2 linked regions of the Macaca fascicularis genome follow. The protein of the gene in region 2 purifies or fractionates together with the protein of the main gene of each other region. This does not show direct contact. Links are inferred from orthologs where the notes say so. Each region holds a gene or a part of one and is shown on either strand. Other genes may lie near its edges.

Region 1 (7,974 bases), on a different chromosome or scaffold from region 2:
ACGCCACGGAGCTCGCTTTGAGGATGGAGGAAGGAGGACATGAGCCAAGGGATCTGGGCAGCCCCTAGAAGGAAATAGTAAGAAAATGGATTCTCCTTTGGAGCCTCCAGAAAGGCACACAGCCCTGACAACACCTTGATTTTAGCCCAGCGAGATACCTGTCAAACTTCTGCACTCCAGTAAGACAGTAAGTTTGTGCTCTTTTAAGCCACCAACTTTGTGATGATTTGTTATAGTGGCAATGTAAAATTAGTAGAAGTGGGAACTACATTTGTGGTTATTCATAATCAAAGACAATTCTCCTAACCATTTCTGTTTAAAACCAGCATTTGGACATAATTCCCACATAATTTCTCTTTCTTGGAGTAGAAAGCATTCACAACTGAGTTTTGAATGGTTCACACTCTTAACTGTCTTAAATAATGTCACATCCAATTATGTTGATGCTAATGAATTGCAACTTGGCTATTTTTAAAAATCCCAAACACAGAAGATTATTTTTGTTCAAATATCAATTTTAGATTTTAGTTTTCCCAAACAGTATTGTTTTTTTTTTTTTTTTTTTTTTTTTTGAGACGGAGTCTTGCTCTGTCGCCCAGGCTGGAGTGCAGTGGCCGGATCTCAGCTCACTGCAAGCTCCGCCTCCCGGGTTCACGCCATTCTCCGGCCTCAGCCTCCCGAGTAGCTGGGACTACAGGCGCCCGCCACCTCGCCCTGCTAGTTTTTTGTATTTCTTAATAGAGACGGGGTTTCACCGTGTTAGCCAGGATGGTTTCGATCTCCTGACCTCGTGATCCGCCCGTCTCGGCCTCCCAAAGTGCTGGGATTACAGGCTTGAGCCACCGCGCCCGGCCAACAGTATTGTTTTAAATGAAGGTTTATATTACTGATTTCCGTAAAGCCACTTGTAGTCATATAAAAGTATGCCCTTTCATTAGAAATTATGCTTCATTAAAGCTTTAGAGTTTTTCCTCTGTCTGTCCTAATGGTAATTGCCCCATTCACCCTTACCATGTAGCTGTTTTGAAGGCTATCTCCTTTCTGCCCTCTCTTTCTTGGGCTTAATCCTGTGGTGTTAGCAGCCTAATGTGGGCGATATGTATTCTGGGCCTCATTATTGAAACTCAAGGCATCGTTTCATAAGAGAGCGGGTTAATGGCGAAACTGGCAAAACAGCTCACAAAGCTGATGTGACACCTTCATCCCTTTCAGGACTCACTGCCATATACAAGATGTAGAGTGACATTCTTAAATAATTCATACATTCAACAAAATATTTACTGAGGCTTCTAGGTGTCAAATGATGGGGATAAGAGCACTGAATAATTTATACAAAAATTCCTGGCTTGGCGCAGTGGCTTACGCCTGTAATCCCAGCACTTTGGGAGGCTGAGGCGGGTTGATCACGAGGGAAGGAGATTGAGACCATCCTGGCCAACATGGTGAAATCCCGTCTCTACTAAAAATTACAAAAAATTAGCTGGGAGTGGTGGCGCGTGCCTGTAGTCCCAGCTACTTGGGAGGCTGAGGCAGGGGAATCGCTGGAACCCGGGAGGGGGAAGTTGCAGTGAGCTGAGATCGCGCCACTGCACTCCAGCTTGGCGACAGATCGAGACTCCGTCTCAAAAAAAAAAAGAAAAAAAAAAAAAGAAAAAAAAAATTCTTGCTCTCATCCTGCCGTTCTTCTGAAACTTTCTTGCTTCCTGGCTTTGGAGGTTTGGGAATTGAAGAAAATAAAGTAAAAAAGATAAAAACAACCAAAGAGGAAAGGTTTTTCTAGATCTAGACATCCTACTCTCTTCTTCCATACAAGATTTATGCTGATGGAACAACAATGTAAAATAAGAAAATTCCTGAGATAATTTTAAAAAGAGAGCAGAAAAAACTCATAGTGGACTTCATCAAGGAATGTGTAAAATGGGTAGAACCTGGAGTATTCAGTGGCAAAATCTTGGACATAGGAATACAGTAACACAACATACTGGTCTAGCAAGCACTGTAGGAGACTGAAGCGGAATTGTCCAGGAAATCCCACAAAAATGGAAATGAAGAGGTCTCAGTATCTCTAGGTGCAGAAAGGAGATAGCCTTCAAAACAGCTACATGGTAAGGGTGAATGAGGCAATTACCATTAGGACAGACAGAGGAAAATGCACCTAGTATCTCTAGGTGCACAGTAACATTAGTTTACAGATCAGCATTACCTATCTTTTCTTTCAGTTGATAAGTATCCTATTGTAATCCATTCATTCACCCTTTGCTTGTTCATTGTTGAAACAAATTCTCCCTGGAACAAAATTCTAGTAACCAAATACATCATATCGGGGGAAACTTCCTTACAGAAGGGATGATATTAAAGTAAAAAGAGGAGGAAGTCCCTTCTTCAGTTCTGGCAGGGGAGGAAAAGCTTCCCCAAAGGTAGGTGATCTGTTGTGACCAGGCTAAACCCACTTGAGGGACTGGCATCCCCTAAAGGTGAAGAGGGGAGGAGACCCACCTCCTGGAATGTGTCCCTGTGGTCTCCAGATGATGTCTTCCTCTAATAAGGACAATTCTGCCAAAGGAATAGAATGCTTCGTCACAGGCTCAATTACTCTGTGTCTCCGCCAGCTTACCACCTATGAACAATTCATCAAATTAGGAAAGCGGGGAGATTTAATAAAGACACAACACATAAAGTGTAGGAAAACTATTTGTATGGCATTCCGAGACGACTAGGTCAGAATTAACAAGGAGCAAAGTAGTTAATAATACCAATTATGTTAACCTAGCACAACACCTGTGCTGAATGTCAGTGTTTAAAAAAATCTCCCAATCTTTATCTAAAAAGATAGGGCTACGTAACAATCGGAATGATTTTTGTCGGTGGAGGTCTAGTAAGCTGCAAGGGTAGTGGACGCCTTGACAGCTGCCAGTCTCGCGGCCTCCGCGGCGGCGTGCCCGTGTGGCTGCGTGCGCGCGGACGGGGCGGGGCTGAGGAGGGGAGTGCGCGCGCGCGGACGGGGCGGGGCGGAGCTCGGAGGGCGGGCGCGCGCGGGGCCGTCTGGTCGGCAGGGGGCGCTGCGCACCCATGCCGCGCTCTGCCTGCCCCCGGGTGCTGTCCGCGGCGGTTCGATTGGAGCAGCCGCCGAAGAGCGCTTGGCGCCATTTTGAAGCGGAGAGGAGGAGGAACGGCCGGGCTGGCTGCGGAAGGGGAGGGGGGAGAGAAGGCGATTGGATGCGGCGGCGGCGGCGGATCCCGGAGAGCCGCGGAGTGAGAGGAGTAGCGAGTCGGAAACCCGGAGGTAGGAAACAATTCAGTTAACGGAAAGAAAATGTCTCTCTTCTCTGGCCGCGGCGCTCCATTTTTCGGTGGCCGCCACTGCAGCTGTGTGTGTGTGTGTGTGTGTGTGTGTGGCAGGGCTGAAGCGCCGCCCGCCCGGGTGCCAGGCGCGACTCGCCTCCCGGCATCGGGGGCTGCAGCGGGCGGCTGCCTGGCGGCGGCCCGGGGCGGGGGTCGCGGGGCGCGGGCCGGCTGCGCGGTGGGGGTGGGGAGGGCCCGGCGGCCGACTCGCGCCTCCACGCCGCGGGCTCTGCCGCAGCCTCTGGAAATTAAACTTGCCGCTCTGATCCCGGCCCGGGCGGCGGCGGCGGCGGGCGGTGACCTTGCGCGCGGGCTGGGGTCCCGGGGCCGCCCGGCCGCCCGCGCCCTCCCGCCGCCACCGCCGCCGCCGCGCCCCTCCCCCCGCGCCCCGGCCGGCCGGCGGCTGTTTCCCGGGCGGCAGGCGGGCGGCGCGGTGCTCCTGTTGAATCCTCCCGCGGGCGGGCTTCTCCCCCTTCCGGGCGAGGGGCGGGCGGGGACCGCGGGTCGGGGCCGCGGGCGCCCTCGCCCTCGCCCTCGTCGCCGGCTCCCCGCGCGCCGCCTGGCCTGCGCTTCGGGCCAGGGGACGGGCTGAGCATGACATTTTTGCGCTGTTCCTCGCTGCTTGCCCGAGGGAAATCGCGCTCACCGCGCCGCCCGGAGTGGGTGCTCGGGGAACCTGAGGACCCCGTTGAGCAAGAGCCCAGCGCTGGCGTGGAGGGACTCCTCCCAGGCGACAACTGGGTTCTAGCTTTCCTTTCGGAAGGAACGGCGGGGAAAATGGTGTGCAATTGTGACTCGTTAATGTTTTTGCACTGTTATTTTAATGCTACTTTAAAAGTTTTCGGTCCGGAGAAAAACCTTGTTTGTTGTTGTTGCTGCTACTGCTGTTGGTTTTTGGTAGAGACGTGAAAGCTAACTCTGAAGTAGCTCGACAGTTATTTTGGAGGAATGACTGAAACCAGAAACGCCGCCCCTCGCCTTCGGAACTGCAGGCTGCTGCGTTCCTTGCCGCGGACGGGGCGAGCTCCGGGAAGGGTTGAAAGAGCAGCTACCCACCCATTCCGCGCGCGTCTTCAACAGCCTCTCTACCCCAGCAAGGGTTAACCCTTTTTTATGTCGAAGAAAGTGCTTCTTGTACTTTTAATAAGAGGTGATGGATGGGCAGTGGTGCCCCGACTGATCCTACCCTGTCGATGAAATAGTTTCAGAAACTTTGGATATAGCTTTAATTTAGAGGGTTGGTCTGCGGTGTGGAGAGAGTTGGGTAATCCTATACCATCTTCCTAATAAACTTCAAAAACTCACGTTGTGTTTACATGCAGGAGGCGAGCTGTAAATAAATCGTCATTACCCAATACTTGAACGGCAATATAGTCGTTGTTCTCAGTTAACCCATCCAGAGTTCCCAGACAGAACGTTTTTTATATTAACTCATGTAGTGGTCAGGTAAACTAGTTAAAAGCCACAAATATGGACTTGAAAGACAGCTCGTTATGCAGTACACATGTCTGAGATGTTCGCATCTTTAGGGACAATGAAATGAGTATTCAATGGTGTATGTGGGTCAGTTCGTGGAACAGTTAATCTTGTATCTCATGGTGATAGCAGAAAACCGAATTAAAATTTGTAGTGGTGAATAGGTGAAAGTTACATGGGACCTTTTATGTTAAGATCGATTGATTGTCAGAAACTAAAAACATTTTAAGAACGTTATTCCTTAGAAATAAGATTTGTGCTTAATATACGTTTACAAGTATATGTAAAAAGATGCACTTTAGACTTTATAAAAATTATCCAAATAGTGACTTTTTCCTCCTTTTTCTGATGGTTTAAAAAATTGTCCTCTTCTCAGCTGGCGTTTACTTAAAGGTGTATTTTAAATGGGAAGGTAGTGTTTGTGTTCACCCTTTTTCTTTTTTTCTTTTCTCCTTGTTTTGGTTAAGGCTGATTTTCCCTATATTACCTTTTACAGCAGCTTTTGTTACTCTTGTCGCCTTTATTCTCTCGTGTTATGTCTCTCCCCTCTCATTTTTACCCCCGTATTAGAGACACATGTACTGATGATAGTGATTCTTGTCGTGAGATGTTTGTATTAAGCTTACTTGTAGTAAGATTCTACCGAGTTGGCTGTTTGATGAAAGTTGTTTAAATTGTTCTGCAGCTTTGTTTAACAAAGTAACATTTTGAGGAGTAGGCTTTATCAATAATTTGTTAGGCCTAAGATAAAGTAATACTTTGTGTTAGGGCTTGCCCTGGAGAAGAATGCAATGGTAGAAAATACCCAAAACTTTGTGAGAAAGGAATATTTCGGGAAGTTGTATTCTTTCTGCTTATTCCTCTTGGGAAATTTAGAGACTGCCTTAGAACTAACAGGAGTGCGCTCAGTAAGATTTGGCTTATGGACTCTTGAATGACATGGACTGTATATAACTTATATTGGAAAAGTTATTTATGTTTCCTCCGTTAGTGTTAGAGAGCAACAAGAAAACTTAAGGATGATCTCCAACTCGCTTATACATGAGAAATTCGGTTCAGATTTTAATTTCATTGATTTATCTGAGGTCACAGTCGTATTCATGTGGTGGAATTGGGGCAGCTCTTAGATATCCTGGAAGCTGAGAAGTTTCCCCATTGTCTTTTTTTTGTTCTATTCAGGATTTAGCAATATTTATTAATAAAAATTCAGGGTAGCACATTACCTTCCATCCCCTTCTCACCTTTTTATTCATTTAACCAAGAATAAAGTTTTGTGGTTAGCCATCTGTTTCAGCGTCTGGTTTTTAATAATTTCTGTTTAGGATTCAGTCCATTTAGGTTGTCTCAGAAGATAACCTCTTGTAGGTGTCTGTCTCCGGGAGCTGCCTGCTCTTTCATTATGTAATATTACTTGACATGGCGTTTATTTATTGTTTGTGAAACTTCTAAGAGTAATTTGGGAAAGTTAGTATGACCTTTGTTTTGTTACAAGATACAGTGCATACATGAGTGTGTGTTTTTTTTTAATTTTTAAACTTAGTTTGCCACACAAGTCATCTGTCACTTCCAGTTACAATATGCATTTTATTTGATTTTCGTATTTCTGTTCGGGAATGTTAAAGATTCCAAAAATACTTAGTTTAAAAATAAGCCCAGTAATTTCTCTGAGAATGTATTTACTTTTTAAGCTTAGTTAAGAAGCTGCCAAATGGTTTGCAGTTCTGACTCCTTGGAGAGTACAGTTGAGCCCTTTTCTCACACTGTTCTGTTATAAGCCACCTGATTCTAACCATTTCCCCCCATTAGTTGAAAAAGGTTTTAGAATCCTTTCTCATCAGTTAGTTCAGAGTTAAGAATAAGTCTGCTGTGTTGAGACTGTAATTGTTTTAGCTGGCATGAGTGATCATGTACAGTGAGAAAATCATGACAATAAATCTTAGGTGAATAAAATTTGGTTGTTCAAATCTTAAAGCCTTTAATTTGAGATTTAAAAAGTATCCATAATCATTGTGTTCTAATAATTAGACATTAATAATAAGTAGTAATTAGAAATACTTGGTTTAGCTGTGTAAAACTTGAAGGCTAACAGGCGTGGGGGAAAGACTGATTAAAGCAAGAAACTATTTTGAGGCCTGCCACTCTCTCTTTTGACAGATCATGACCTGATTCAGTTAAAATGAACAGGCACTAAACTTCTGTATACATACAGTACCAAGGATGGTGTAATAAACAGGACTGAAGAAGACACCCTGTCCTATAGAAGTGTAGAGTAGTGGTTGGCCATCCACAGCAAGGTGATGAGAACTGAGACAGACCAGAGAGTAGGAACTCTGCTGTTACTTAGTTCCAGAGGAGCAGGCCCTCCTTCCTTTTCAGTGAAGAGTTGAGGTTGCTCTTTTTATGTGGGAGAGTGAAATTAGCCAAGATTAGATCCCATAAGGAGAAGGAGGGGCTGTTATAACCAAGACCGTTGTCTTTCTCTAGAAGAGAATGGTTAGGGACCTGGAAAGAAATGAGAGTTTGTGTTTCCTTAGGTAGGATAGGATTCTTTCTCCCCAGAGGTGATTTTAGGGAAGTAATTAGGAGATTTTAAAGGAAAGCTCTGTATCTCCAAAATATGTCCCTTAGTAGCTGAAATTTTACCAGGTAGCTTTCAGATATGGGATGGCTTGGATTGGGTACAGGGGTGAGGGTTGCGGGGGTGAGAGTTGCAGGCCTTAAGTACTCTATTAGGGGAATAGAGTACTTAATGAATTGTGTATTTTAAGTAAAAAATGTTACTTTTCTCCTCCCCCCACAGGCAACCCACTGTTAACAGTTTCTCAAAAGTTTACTTAAAAAAAAAAATTATACAAAGAGTATTGTTAAACTGCTGTACTATTAAAATTTACTGTTTATTAAAATTTACTAATAAAATTTACTATTTTATTTATTTTATTATTATTATTATTATTATTTTTGAGATGGAGTCTCGCTCTATTGCCCAGGCTGGAGTGCAGTGGGGCGATCTCGGCTCACCACAACCTCCATCTCCTGGGTTCAAGCGATTCTCCTGCCTCAGCCTCCTGAGTAGCTGGGACTACAGGCATGTGCCACCATGCCCGGATAATTTTTGTATTTTTAGTAGAGACTATGTTGGCCAGGCTAGTCTCAAAC
Region 2 (7,486 bases):
CACATGCTGGAAGATTCTTGGTTGTCTATTCATACTTAGGGCAGAAGGATAGGGAAACTATCCTTTGTAAAAAGGAAACGCTGGAAGGATAAGCCAGAAATGAATTGAAATAATATTTTTTGGTAGAGACAGGGTCTTCCTATGTTGCCCAGGCTGGTCTCGAACTTCTGGGCTCAAGGGATCCTTCTGCATCAGCCTCCCACAATGCTGGGATTGCAGGCATAAGCCACCATGTCCAGCCTAAAATGGTTATTAATATGTGGTGTAGGGCAGGGCAGAGAACTATATTCCTTTAGGGTGAGTAGATGGAGAATCAGGATATGAGGTGGCAGAACTCTGAATTCTAGTAAAAATAAGACTTATTTTGGAACATCAACATCTACACTAATTCTCAGTTTTCCCCAAACATTTTGTTCAGTTTTTTTTCTAGAAGAAATATCTGGTGTTTTACCTGGGGGAAAGTGTAAGCTGCCCGAGTAGAAGTAGGAGTAGGAAGGGAGGTAGGGGCATAGTGACCACTGGGAATGGCTTCCCATTTATTCAATTAATCTTCCCTGTTTTCAGCCCCAATTCTCATTTCTGCTCATCTCTGTCCCTAAGCCTTAAGATCTGTTGGGCTGGTCCGGTTCCTAGTTCAGAGTATGTTCTACACATTGCTTCTTGGCTTGTTTTCTCCTTCAACCCACTCCTATCTACTTTACAACTTCCAAAAATTTCTGGAAATTTGTTTATTGGTAACCCAATCATGTAATTCTCTTTGGTGTTTTGGTACCTCTATGTTTTTATTTTAATGGACTCTCAGAGAGACAGGAATCAAATGGTGCTGTCTGGTCTACCTTCTTGGAACTTAGTACTTTTAAGGAAAGGGAAAGATTTGACTTTCTATAGAAAATTCCAGAGACACAATAGGACCAGTCAGTTCTATTGTCTCTTATTTTTACACAGTACTTATTTATGAAGAAGCAAAGTGACTATGTAGAACAAACACTAAGTACTTCTTTAATATTTAACAGAATTTTCATCATTATGGGTTCTTATATGTGTAGCATCTTCTATATTCTGTTATTGCATGTTTCTGAGGGAGTGTTTCACTGCTTTCATCAGAATTCCAAGGGGTTTATAACCTAAAAGAGTTTAAGAACCACAGGACTATATAAATGTACTCTCTCAAACAGTGTTAAAAGATTCCCATTCCATGATGATATGTTTACATTTTAGATCTTAACTGCAGGTGTTTAAATCACAAAAAAATTAATGTTTAAAAATAATTTTGAAGCTGTTTAAAAATCCCAAGGCAACCAGTAAACAAACGACTATATAATATGTTGAGAAGCAGTGGGGTTTCTTTTAGGAACACATTCTTTTTTTTTTTTTTGAGACAGAGTCTTACTCTGCTACCCAGAATGGAGTGGACTGGCATGATCTAGGCTCATTGTAACCTCTGCCTCCCAGGATCAAGCGGTTCTCCTGCCTCAGCTTCCTGAGTAGCTGGGATTACAGGCGTGCACCACCATGCAGAGCTAATTTTTGTATTTTTAGTAGATACGGGGTTTCACCATGTTGGCCAGGCTGGTCTTGAACTCCTGATCTCAGGTGATCCACCTGCCTCGGCCTCCCAAAGTGCTGGGATTACAGACGTGAGCCATCACACCCGCCACGAACACATTCACATGCATTATGCAGTAGCTTAACAAAAGAAAAACTTCACTTGGGGCTTTAGCTCTTTTGTACAGTAGCTGAGAGTACTGAGGGCTGGGGATGCTAAATAATTTTTCAACCCAATGACCTGGATAGCTACTTGGAATATCACCATTTAGGTACAGTGTCAAATTTTGCACCAGAAGACCTAGTCACTAAGTAAGAAGTCCTAGATGCTGTGGGCCGGTCATGGTGGCTCACACCTGCAATCCCAGCACTTTGGAAGGCCAAGGTAGGAGGATGGCTTGAGCACAGGAGTTTGACATCAGCCTGGGCAAGGGATGACTCCCTTGTAGGGAGACCCTGTCTCTACAAAAAACACAAAAATTAGCCGGGCATGCTGGTGCACACTGATAGTCCCAGCTACTTGGGAGGCTGAGGTGGAAGGATCACTTGAGCCTGGAAAGTGGAGGTTGTAGTGAGCTGAGATCACACCACTGCACTCCAGCCTAGGCAACAGAGCAAGAAGATCACACCAATGCACTCCAGCCTGGGCAACAGAATAAGACTCTGTCTTAAAAGCAAAAACAAAAAACAAATACAAAGAAAACACAGGTAAAGAAACAAAAAGTTTACTGCACTCCAGCCTGGGCAACAGAGCAAGACTCTGTCTTAAAAGCAAAATCAAACAACAAATACAAAGAAAACATAGGCAAAGAAACAAACAAAAAATCTACAGTCTAAAATTTTTTTAGGCTAAAAAATAACAAAGAAGATGAGGAATTGATTGATATATTAGCCAGGAGCATCAGTATTCCTACAAAATGAAATTATCAGATATTAACTCTAGTTCTTTGAGGCAAGTTTTGCTGAAGCTACTTAAATGTCAACTTTTGCATTCTGACTCTGGATAAATGTTACTTCACATAATAGTTCAGGTAATTATTTTACATATATTTTCAAAATAAGCAAAAAATTTAAAAACAGTAATATAGTAAGAAGCAGAGCTGTGTAGATCACAATGTATGATTTTAACTCTATAATTAAACTTTAATATTGTTCAAAACAGGCAAATAAAAATATGTGTGCATTTGCACACTTATATTGATACAATGGCTGCAGTCAAGCTCAGCCACACAGCATGTGATAGCTCTGCTTAAAATCTAAGCCATGGTAGCTTTGGCTGAAATATCTGAAGTAAAAGGGAGAAGCTAATGCTCACTAATGGGTTAAACCCATGTGGTTTTGCTTTGTTCAATTAACTGAAAGTAAACTTTATTCTGATGATATCTTCAGGACACAGGGAACAACGTTTGAAGATTAATGATTATCATATAATTTTATATGTGTAAACTGTTTAGCTGACTGGGCTGAATGTACCCTGGAAAAGATGTTTTTGAATAAATCTTGTTTATCTATTTTCATTTGCTTTGTTCAAACAATATATCACTGGAACGAGTTCAGTTAATCAGGGTTATAGTTCATTGTGGTTTTACTATAAAACATTATAAAACAAAAGAAACGCCAACTACCTACCTAAGCGATGAAATCCAAAGGTGAATCTTTTGGTTGGTGATTTTGATGATAGCCACAAAGCAAGCAGGGTGAGTATGATGGCGCTTAGGTCAGTTAACATATGAAGTGCATCTGTCATGATTGCTAGGCTATTTGCAATGTATCCACCTTAGAGTTACAAGTAGGAGGAAAAAAGGAACAAGTTAATTTTTTTAAAAAGCAAGCAATCAAACTAGAAATATGCAATATCCTACAAAACATGAACTTCTAACTAAATCTTTGTCCCATTACAATTAAATCAAGGTATTCTGAAATTGTATTCAAAATATTAGATACAGGTACATTTTTCTGGTGAAATATCAACTTCTTTTCTTTTTTTTTTTTTTTTTTTTTGAGAGGGAGTCTCACTCTGTTGCCCAGGCTGGAGTGCAGTGGTGCAATCTCTGCTCACTGCAACCTCTGCCTTCTGGGTTCAAGTGATTCTTGTGCCTCAGCCTCCTGAGTAGCTGGGACTACAGGCATGCACCACCATGCCAAGCTAATTCTTGTATTTGACAGGGTTTCACCATGTTGGTCAGGCTGGTCTCAAACTCCTGACCTCAAGTGATCCGCTCGCCTTGGCCTCCCAAGTGCTGGGATTACAGGCATGAGCCAATGTGTTCAGTCAGAATATCCATTTCTAGTAACACATTCTGCAAGGAGTCAATGACCTTTAGAAAGTTAAGAACCACAAAGCAAATATATATAGAGAGATTTTGTGTCTTGGTACTGAAGCTTTTGTTCAATTTACTAATTCTATTAGACAGTGAATGAATAACCATAATATCTAAATATTACAACAAAGCTGAAGAAAAGGATGTTCACTTGTTGAGGGGCATTTGAACATAAAATTAAAGTGAGGAAACCTACAAAATGTATGTTAGTTTGATATAAAATATGTAAAAATTACCTGATTCACTTAGCAGTATCTCTGAAGAGGGGTACAAAAGGTGGTATTGAGGATACAATTTTTGTTATTGATTTTCCAGGCATTTAATATATATATTATACATTGTTTCACTGTGTGTCTGTATTGTCCCATAATGGACAACCAATTTTCCCAGCACTACTCATTGAATAAGCTTTTATGTGTATCAGAATCACCTGGAGGGCTTGTTTAACTACAAACTGCTTAACCCCACTCCCAGAATTTCTGATTCAGTAGGTCTGGGATGGGGATGGGGATGGCACCTGAGAATGCATATTGCTAACATGCTCCCAGGTAACGCTGATGCTTCAAGTCTTGGAACCACACTTTGAGAATCACTGTTATAATGTACAGCAGAACTGCATGATCAGGTTAAGTGTGCTGAGCTGTGGATCCTCCTCATTCCTGGGCTAGGTGTGTAGAGACAAGAGCAGCAGGAGACTAGGGGCTGATGATCTTTTAGTCACATCCATTTACCCCAGTGTGCTCTATACAAATAGCATTTTTATGTATTCCCCAACATGAAAAAGCTGGAAAGCACCAAGAGAAGGCTGGAGGTAAACAACATGAAGCTTTGGAGTCTCAGAAAGTCTGAATGAGTTAATCTTTTTGAGCCTCAGTATACTCATCATTTTATAATGAGGATAATTCCTTAAAGCAACTCTGTCCAACAGAACTTCAAGATGATAGAAATGTTCTGTATCTGAGTTGTCCAATGGTGTAGTCACTAGTCACATGTGGCTTTTCAGCATTTGAAAAATGGCTAGTAAGGGTGGGGCACAGTGGCTTATGCCTGTAATCCCCCGTTTGGGAGGCCGAGGTGAGAGGACTACATGAGCCCAGGAGTCTGAGGCTGCAGTAAGCTATAATGGCACCAGTTCACTACAGCTTGGGTGAGAAGAGTGAGACACTGACTAAAAAAAGAAAGAAAAATGGGGCCAGGTGCAGTGGCTCACGCCTGTAATCCCAACACTTTGGGAGGCTGAGGCAGGCGGATCACCTGAGCTCAGGAGTTCGAGACCAGCCTGGGCAACATGGTGAAACCCCATCTCTACCAAAAGAATAAGTAAGAAAGAAAAAGAAAAATGGTTAGTGAACCTAAGGAATTTAATTAATTAAACTTTTTTTTTGTTTGTTTAAAGAGTCAGGGTCTCGCTCTGCCACCCAGGCAGGAATGTAGTGATGTGATCATAGCTCACTGTAGCCTCAACCTCCTGTGTTCATGTAATCTTCCCATCTCAGCCTCCTGAGTAGCTGGGACTACAGGCATGCACCACCATGCTCAGCTAATCTTTTTATCTTTTTTTTTTTTCAGGAGATGAGGTCTTGCTATGTTGCCTAGGCTTAATTATTTAATTAACCTAAACTTAAAAAGCTACATGTTGGTGACATCAGCCAAAAAAAAAAAAAAAAAAAAAAAAAAAAAAAAAAAAAAAAACACGTTAAGGACCTCTGAAAATCATCTTCACAAAAAGAATGAAAACATTGACAAAAATAGTCAAAATGAGCTTTTTCAGAACTTCGGAAGTTAGCCAAAAGCTTATACACATAGCACTTAATCAAGAAAAATAGCTGAATCTCAACAAGAACAGTTACCTTTGTGGTGTTTTAATTTGCGGTGTACCCGTTTGTTGTCCTCCAGCTCTGTGGTAGCCTTGAAAACCAACAGGCCACAATCACTGTGAAAACCTCATGTTGGCAGCCACTGGAGGATACAAAATGAGTCTGGAGCTCCTTCAATGCCCCATTCCCAGAGAACTGTCATTATTTGACCTGCCTAGTCGTTCCCTAAAAGACGTGCAAGGATGCTTTTATTTGACTGGACACTTGAAGCTGGCCTTGTATGAACAGCCCCCATCTTCCCATGCTTGTCAAAAATCAGAGGCAACTAATACTGCAGCTTCCTGAGGTAGGTAATGATGGTTCCCTGTGTTCAGAAATTTCACAATGTCTACCCTGGCATAGATCTTTTTTCCCCCAATTTGCTCTTTCAATCTAGAAATTTGTGGCCAGGCACAGTGGCTCACACCTATAATCCCAGCATTTTGGGAGGCTGAGGCAGGTGGATCACCTGAGGTCAGGAGTTCGAGACCAGCCTGACCAATATGGAAAAACCCTGTCTCCACTAAAAATACAAAATTAGTCAGGTGTGGTGGCACATGCCTGTAATCCCAGCTACTTGGGAGGCTGAGACAGGAGAATTGCTTGAACCTAGGAGGTGGAAGTTGTGGGGGGCGTGGAGGTTGTGGTGAGCTGAGATTGTGCTATTGTACTCCAGCCTGGGCGACAAGAGTGAAACTCTGTCTCAAAAAAAAAAAAAAAAAAAAAAATTATAGAAATGGGTATCCTCCAGTTACGGGAAAACTTCCTAAACTATAAACTATAGTGTTGAAGATTTCATCAACTTTGCTTTCTCTCTTTCTCAAACTCCTTCCTGTTATTTGGAGTTTAGACTGATATTCTAATTTTTTTTTTTTTTTTTTTTTTTTTTTTTTTAAGACAGAGTCTCACTCTATCACCCAGGTTTGGAGTACAGTGGTGCAATCTCAGCTCACTGCAACTTCCGCCTTCTGGGTTCAAGCAATTCTCCTGCCTCAGCCTCCTGAGTAGCTGGGATTGCAAGCATGTGCCACCACGCCCGGCTAATTTTTGTATTTTTAGTAGAGATGGTGTTTCATCATGTTGGCCAGGCTGGTCTTGAACCCCTAACCTCAGGTGATTGCCCGCCTTGGCCTCCCAAAGTGCTAGGATTACAGGCATGAGCCACCACACCTGGCCTCTAAATTGTTTTTGCCCTTTCTCTCCAATTATACAACTTTTTGCTCAATTCTATGAGACAGTACCTTAATTCATCTTCTTTTTTTGAGACAGGGTCTTGCTCTGTTGTCCAGGCTGCAGTTCAGTGGCACAATCATGGCTTACTGTGGCCTGGACCTCCTGGGCTTAAGTGATCCTCCCACCTCAGCCTCCTTTGTAGCTGGGACTACAGGCATGTGCCACCACACCTCACTAATTTTTTATTTTTATTAGAGACAAGGTGTCACTATGTTGCCCAGGCTGGTCTTGAATTCTTGAGCTTAAGCAATCCTCCTGCCTTAGCCTCCTAAGTTGCTGGGACTACAGGAGCATGACACCATGCTTGGTTTTTTTTTTTTTTTTTTTTTCCCCCAATTTTTAGTAAAGATGAAGTCTCACTATATTGCCCAGGCTGATCTTGAATTCCTGGGCTCATGTGATCTTCCCACCTCAGCCTCCCACAGTGCTGTGATTTCAGGCATGAGCCACTGCAGCCAGCCCTTAATTTATCTTCTAACTTTTCTGTGGAGTTTAAAAGAAATTTCAACTATATGTTTTTACTGTGCAAAA

The links. Proteins that work in one complex are often made in the same cells at the same time.
Region 1: the proteins of SLC30A4 (region 2) and PDS5B purify together in Homo sapiens (affinity purification with mass spectrometry; 3 studies listed by BioGRID and IntAct, counting the BioPlex papers as one, with this or other methods). This does not show direct contact. The link is inferred for Macaca fascicularis from reciprocal best matches to the Homo sapiens genes SLC30A4 and PDS5B.

Annotation. Positions count from the first base shown.
Region 1 is NC_088391.1:12,290,035-12,298,008, forward strand, and holds the start of PDS5B (sister chromatid cohesion protein PDS5 homolog B), read left to right. Parts: upstream 1-3,139; 5' UTR 3,140-3,283; intron 3,284-3,743; exon of another isoform or gene 3,744-4,122; intron 4,123-7,974. UniProt on the Homo sapiens protein: Regulator of sister chromatid cohesion in mitosis which may stabilize cohesin complex association with chromatin. May couple sister chromatid cohesion during mitosis to DNA replication.
Region 2 is NC_088381.1:22,024,852-22,032,337, forward strand, and holds part of SLC30A4 (probable proton-coupled zinc antiporter SLC30A4), read right to left. Parts: intron 3,322-7,486; coding exon 3,175-3,321; intron 1-3,174. UniProt on the Homo sapiens protein: Probable proton-coupled zinc ion antiporter mediating zinc import from cytoplasm potentially into the endocytic compartment. Controls zinc deposition in milk.